2 linked regions of the Daphnia pulex genome follow. The protein of the gene in region 1 binds, or shares a complex with, the protein of each later gene. Links are inferred from orthologs where the notes say so. Each region holds a gene or a part of one and is shown in the gene's direction. Other genes may lie near its edges.

Region 1 (3,657 bases):
CTGAAATGGAAGTGGCCGGCTGCAAAGCCCAAGTAGCTCAGCCGAGCATGTTGACGGACGTGGATCCTTCAGACCACATGGATCATCCAGACCATCAACAGCCGAATCAACAATATTGGGTGACGACGGCCGGCAAATTTCGATTTGCGCTGGATGAATTGCCGAATCACCTCCAACTCATTTACGGATTCCTGAAAGAGCTCTACCACTTGATCCGACCGGACACTCAGCGACATCTACTCCGCTGCGTCGAAATCCTTTGTCTACACTGCGAGGTGCTCAGTAAATCCGCCTGTCGCGAGCATCCAGGCTTCCTGTTTTGGGTTCAAGAAAACCTCACCGTGGCCCAGCTCTGGAATCTCCTCGAGAGTCAAACATCGCACGTCGCCCAGACGTGTGCCTCTCTCTTGCTGCACTGTCTCACTCTTCCGGGTGGATCGGATGTCTTCTGGAAAATTATGGAATCGGATTTCCACTCGCGCGATTGGAAGACTCGCTTTTCATCCGTGGAGCGGATGATGTTGGTGTGCCAATTTCTGGACGATCCCACCGTCAAACAGAGTTCCATTTTACAGTCGATCCTGACCAACGCCTTTTGTTTCCTCATTTCATCAATGGACGATATCAACACGGCTGTAGCCAACCGGGCAACCATACTCCTCGAGAGCTTGCACGATGGATCGCTTAAACTGCTCGTTTGGTGTATGGAACAGCAGTTTGACAGTTTCATCAGCGACAGACCTCTGTTGTTGCACTCTATTATGGCCCTGCATCATCACCCTTGGCTGACCAAACGCAAGATCATTTCGTGGAAATTCTTTTTCAATCGTTTCGACGCTCTGTATTTGGAAGCCCAGTTGAGCCTACAGCGGGCCGGGGAATTGATTGAACCGCGAGATCTCAAGTCCAGTCACATGTCAAACGAAAGCTTCAACAAGAAATTGCAGAAAGCTCGTGAGGCCATCAAGCGCTACGCTCCTAGCAGGTCTAGTTCGCCGACTCAACAGCAACCGAGGAGCTTGATGCGGTCGTTGAGCCTGTCAACTCATCGCTTCAATCGCCGAAAGTCTACACCCAATCATCACCCACAGCACGGAGTGACCAAGAGTTACAGCCGACAAAGTTCTTCAGCCCAGTTGAAGTTGATGCGATCCAGGGGCGCTCTCGGTGGCGACAGGATGAACAATCAACAAGCGTCTCAAGAAGAAGCCTACGTTGCTCTCTTCATGCAACGTTGCTCGGAACTGGACGACTACGATGGTGAAACCCACTCTTTACTGTTGACTACGCTGATGCAATTCCTGGCGCAGCCAGATCTCGCCCAGTTGAGCGACGATAAGTTCCAATCGCAAATTCAGAACCTGGTCCTTCGACATTTGAGTCTTTTGCTGGGCTACGGACCCACCGAAAGAGCTTTCTGTTTGACACCACAGAAACTCAGAGCATCGGCTCCTTTCAACGCCTTTCTCTCGGCTCTTCCGCAAGTTCTGGATCGTAATTTAGCTATCGGAGCCAATCTTCTGCCCATGACGTTATCTTTGATGATTTTCTGCCCCGCCCCGCCGTCAAAGAACAACGGTCCTGGAGGTAATTCGTGGTTACAATGTCATGGGCAAGCTGGTGTGCCCATCACAACTCACGGATCCATGAGTAGCGTTGGTTTCGCTTCCGGCTCAGCTGCTGCAGCAGCTTCGAATAAGTAAGTTCACCATCCTTTGATCAATTTTGAAATTATTTAATTTCCTTCAATTACTTAGCGTCAACGATCGACACAACGGCACGACTCCACAAAGAGCCTACAAACCGACCTATTCCCTATGGTATTTGGAAACTCATCCTCGACGGATGTGGCTACAAACAGTGTTAGTAATCCTCTACAAGGTTTGTTTATTTACTATGAAAAAGATTGGGCCAACTTTATTAAATATTTCTTCTGCATTGTTGCAGTATCGTTATAACCAACCGAATTTAGCTCCGTTAGTACAGAGCATCATCCGGATCGTTCTTAACACTCTGGAATCTCAATACCATCGCTGTTATCGCTACGGTGGTATTGGGGCCACTTTAAGTCACGGCCATCCATCGACAGCGCAGCATCAACTCCATGGGGTCTCTTCAACTGCAACTATGAGGATGAGAGACCAGAGTCAAGGCTCTTTGGAAGTAGAGACTCCCATTGATCCAACAGATCTAAAAGGTTTTTATTTAAGGATTCAGCGATTTGCTGAACGATTTTTAAATGTTTATGCTTAAAATTGATTTATTTAGGAAGAGCAAATGTCATTGGACACGGTGTAGGAGCTGTTCTTGGCATAGCTGGATTGGTCTGGGGCTCCTCTACAATTCAACATCAAATTCAGCTACAAGTTGCAACGGTAAATCTTATCTCTAATACGTTGATGACGAATTATTTGCTGATTTCTTTTTCCGCTATTACAGAAATCTAACGTCACATTGACGTCCCGACGTGAGTTGACTGGAAGTATCTCTAGTGAATGTGACATCGACGCTGACGTTGATGGCATAGAACTTGAAGTTATACCTGAGAGTCCCAAGAGTAGTCGGCCGGATCCTGATTGGGATCGAGATTCACTTGCTGAAGTCGAGGTAAATATTTTCTACGCCGAGTTTCATCCTTTATGTAATCATTGGGTCTTTTCTATCAATAGGTTCTCTCAGAAATGTCACAGCAAGAACCGAATTCCGCCACTGCAGCGTCAGAAGTATCGCTGGCGGCCTGTGTCCGACAACCATCGGGTGTCTATGAAGCCCATACAATTGTGTCGCACCGTCAGGTCAATGCAGCGGACGCCGCTGCCGCCGCCGCAGCAGCCACAGCGACACCTACGGGAGTCAGAACTCGACAGAGAAAAATGGGCATCTCTATGGGAACCATGGGTCCCGAAATTCCGTTTCTATCCACCGAACAATCAAACCGTCAGCAACAACAGCCTCAGATTGAAACCCCAGCACCTCATCCAGCCCCTGTCAATCACGCAGTACATACGCCCATGAAACAGAGCTGTCTTCGCGTCGGTGACGAAGTGGCGTGTCACCGTTGTTCCAAATGCAACGCACCATTTGAAGAATTCAGCGAAGAAGAACTCGGATTATGTATCGTCATTATATCGACGTTCGTTCATCGCGAGCCTGCTTTGGCTGCTACTATGCTACCAGAAATTCTCCGCTGTAACGCAAAGTACCTCAATTTTTATTTGCTATGAAATTAACATGATGTGAAGCTAAGTTTTAAATTTAAACTTATAGGTGGGCGGGAAGTACGACATATACCTGGCAAATGGGTAGCAATTTGTACGTACCCGGTGAAGTTGGTGCGATTGCTCGCCAATTTCTCCGGTGCCTGTTGCATCAGCTCACACCAAACAAGGTCTTCATCCAATTATTCCAGACTCAAGTGCCTGAAGAGATGAAGCAGTCTTTCTTCAAGACGATGGCATCGGCGTTGACGGATTTCGTTGAACTGACTCCGGCGGCACCGCTCCAGTTGTTGCTCGAGTCACTGAATGAGCAAAAACAGTTGTCGCCAGCCCAGATCGCCATGATGTTGCCCAATGTGGCCTGCTATATCGAGTGTCTTCCGCCGCTCGAATTGAGTGCCCAGATTTGGACCCCTCTATTCGCTCAGCTGGAAATCTT
Region 2 (3,139 bases), on another chromosome or scaffold:
ACACGCCACGTTGAAAATGCTGATGCTCACCGTGGTCGTCTCCGTCTACAAGAGCTTTTTCATTATTATGGGTACCTATAATACCTCGTACAATCTACATCTCTTAGCACACAATTTTATACCGATGTCGTTTATTTCTTTCCGTCGAATGCAGGCATGTTCTTGCTCATCTTCGTTTATGCCCTGACCGGCTGTCTGCTCTTCGGTACGGTCAAATACGGCGAAAGTGTTGGAAGGTATTAATTATTGGCATAAAGTTATTATTCTTATGAGAATTATTTCATCTTCTTTTATGTCTGTAAAGGCAAGCCAACTTTGGCAGCACGCCTAGGGGCATCATCATGCTGTTCCGTATTGTGACGGGAGAGGATTGGTACAAAATCATGCACGACTGCATGGTGTTGCCGCCGTTTTGCACACCGGGCGCCAATTATTGGGAAACGGATTGCGGCAATTTCACGGCTGCCATGATCTTTTTCTGCTCCTTTTACGTTATCATCACGTACATCGTTCTCAACCTTCTTGTCGGTACGGGGTTTGATATACCAAGTGCATCCTCCGATAACTAAAACCTATTCTTTTTCTGGGTTAGCGATTATTATGGAGAACTTTTCCCTCTTCTATTCCAACGAAGAGGACGCCCTTCTCTCCTACGCCGACATCCGCAATTTCCAAAATACGTGGAACATTGTGGACGTCAACCAGCGCGGTGTTATTCCCGTACGGAAAGTCAAATTTGTCCTGCGTCTACTCAAAGGCCGTCTCGAAGTCGATCCTCAAAAGGATCGGTAGGCGATTTAATATAATTCCATCAAATAATTTTGACAACGAATGTTTCACTTCAACTTGTAACATTAATTTTTAGGCTCCTTTTCAAGCACATGTGCTTCGAGTTAGAACGACTACACAACGGAGAAGATGTCACCTTCCACGACGTTCTGAAGTAAAACAATTCAAATTAGAAACCTATTTCTGTTACGTATATTTAATCAACGCTATATTTTAATTGTTAATGTAGCATGCTGTCGTATCGTTCGGTGGACATCCGCAAGTCGCTGCAACTGGAAGAGCTTTTGGCCCGTGAAGAGCTTGAGTACATCATCGAAGAAGAAGTGGCCAAGCAAACCATTCGCCAGTGGCTGGATTCGTGCTTGAAACGAATGAAGACTGTGAATATTCACGACACCGTTTGTTCTCCCCCTATTTTTTTGTTGTTTTTTTGGTGTCTTTCCCTTCCCCTGACGTTACGCAATTTAGTGATTCATTTGTTCATCTTACAGAAGGAGCACAATAGCTTATTGGCCGGTTTGCGGGCTACCAACGACCAACTTCAAGAGGCCCAGGAAGAAAAAAACCGGGAATTCAACGCTGGAGGTGCCGAAAGAGATATTTCTGAAGTGAAGGTGTGATCAATTGCGTTATATACATAATTCTGGCGGTACTAAATTGAAACTGGGCATTGCAGGAGGCGGAAGGAAGTGGCAAACATCGTCGGAAGGGTATGCTGGTCACACGCTCTGACAGCATCAACAGCGTCAGCGGTCGACGCTTGTTTTACGCTCCTTGCCACGGCGCCGATGGAATCTCCCAGCAACGATCCACCTACGACAAGGAAAGGCTGGGCGTTTCATCCAATCCGAAGAAGAGGCCATCACGTCAAAGTAATTAAAGTCTTATGTTTACAGGACCCGTGAATAGATTGCTGTAATCGGGATACTTTTTCATTCAACAGGTACCGGAAAAGGGATTCCTTCTTCCAGTTTTTCGCACTCGGCGGGCGAGTGTAGTCCTGGTGCCAGTCCAACTTGGTGAGACGTTATTTTTATTGATTTAAATCGTGAACATTTAAATGACTGGCTTTTTGAATTTGTCTAGTCCAACAACAGGTGGCCAGCACGGCCTTGTCTTCCCGTACTCGAGCATTGGTGGCGGTGCTTCTTCCAACTGGTCAAGCCGCGGCTCTGGCCATCCGCTTCCGCCGTTGGCACCACCCAGTGCTTTGGCCGTTCGCGTGGCATCGGCCGTTACTGAGGTTCAGGACTGGTGGCGGGATCAACTCGCCTCTCCCGACGGTTCCGATGAAGATTAATTAATACGTCAACCCACACACAAAAACCAAATATCTTCCTTTTGCGAAAAGCACAATTCTAGTGAACAATTTAATTCGACAAATAATGAAGCATAACAAACCACATAGTTATATATAGTCGGACATCTGTGCCAAGTCAAAGTTTATTGTTTAGATCTAAAAATGTTGTCTCAAATTACTTGGTACGACGTAAACGTGCCAGTTACCACCCCACAATCTCTTTTAGCAACCAAACATTCTCGTTTAAAGTTTCCTATTTGAGTTTCCAATGAAAAAAGGATCGATTTAAAAATATCCTGATTCATACATGACGAAGATACGTACAAGTTATTCGCACATTCGATTTCTAGTATATCGCTGTTACGAGGAAACACGGGTGGAGCATCTTGCGGCCCTTGGATGGAGTACACAGTGTTCCTCTGGATTCTAATTAATACAACTATTTAAAACATTTGAGCCTTTTCCTATTCTATAATAGTGTCAAGAGTTTATTCACTAAATTTTATTAGAATATTGAAAACAACATCTTTTTATTTCTTTTGTGCGTAGGGTAGAAAAAAAATTTGATTCTAATTTTTCAGGATCCGGGAAGACTGGAAGAGCATGAATAAATGCATAACTGTTTTAAAAGAAACTGAAGCAGCAATGTATATTTCTATGACTCAGAAAAAGCACGCGTCGAGAAAACTTTAATACTCAAGGATTATTATCATAAAGAGTTGGTTCTGTTAAAGGCCAGAGTAGGAAATACCACCCCAATAGCCCAACGACAAAAGCTGAAGCCAACACAATCCTTTTCCAACCGTTCAGTCGGCCAATCTCACCGAAATCGGGGAAACCCATCACGTTACAGAATGCGTGCGCAACACACGGAGCGGCAACATTACCCGTTCGAATAAATAAAAATGCGGCGTACATTCCGAAAAGGGTGGTGTAAGCAAACTGAAAACCTGAGAATAACGGAAATGCATTAGACAAACTCACCTTCATTGATTTACTAAATGTATAAATTTGTTTTATTACATGATAGTAGTAGAGACTGAGCTAAAG

Evidence for each region.
Region 2: the proteins of protein unc-79 homolog (region 1) and sodium leak channel non-selective protein-like are in contact, whole or in part, in a cryo-EM structure (PDB 7SX3), measured with the Homo sapiens proteins. The link is inferred for Daphnia pulex from reciprocal best matches to the Homo sapiens genes UNC79 and NALCN. Residues at the interface, in NP_001333147.1 of Homo sapiens: Cys861, Gln862, Ile865, Glu968, Pro969, Asp970, Phe1020, Gln1022, Pro2088, Asp2089, Ala2092, Pro2093, Leu2095, Leu2096, Met2099, Leu2139, Pro2141, Asn2142, Gly2143, Ile2144, Gln2147, Leu2148, Ser2151; in NP_001337678.1 of Homo sapiens: Gln349, Met350, Phe351, His352, Glu353, Gly358, Trp359, Gln360, Leu361, Phe712, Ser713, Ile714, Arg717.

The regions. Positions count from the first base shown.
Region 1 is NC_060021.1:6,773,613-6,777,269, reverse strand, and holds part of protein unc-79 homolog, read left to right. Parts: coding exon 1-1,699; intron 1,700-1,757; coding exon 1,758-1,881; intron 1,882-1,947; coding exon 1,948-2,197; intron 2,198-2,268; coding exon 2,269-2,375; intron 2,376-2,439; coding exon 2,440-2,607; intron 2,608-2,669; coding exon 2,670-3,199; intron 3,200-3,267; coding exon 3,268-3,657. UniProt on the Homo sapiens protein: Auxiliary subunit of the NALCN sodium channel complex, a voltage-gated ion channel responsible for the resting Na(+) permeability that controls neuronal excitability.
Region 2 is NC_060028.1:1,975,359-1,978,497, forward strand, and holds the end of sodium leak channel non-selective protein-like, read left to right. Parts: coding exon 1-71; intron 72-154; coding exon 155-236; intron 237-304; coding exon 305-528; intron 529-592; coding exon 593-788; intron 789-865; coding exon 866-943; intron 944-1,018; coding exon 1,019-1,403; intron 1,404-1,465; coding exon 1,466-1,661; intron 1,662-1,732; coding exon 1,733-1,808; intron 1,809-1,875; coding exon 1,876-2,089; 3' UTR 2,090-2,540; downstream 2,541-3,139. Other genes in the region: CAAX prenyl protease 2-like, read right to left, coding at 2,786-3,039, 3,113-3,139. UniProt on the Homo sapiens protein: Voltage-gated ion channel responsible for the resting Na(+) permeability that controls neuronal excitability. NALCN channel functions as a multi-protein complex, which consists at least of NALCN, NALF1, UNC79 and UNC80.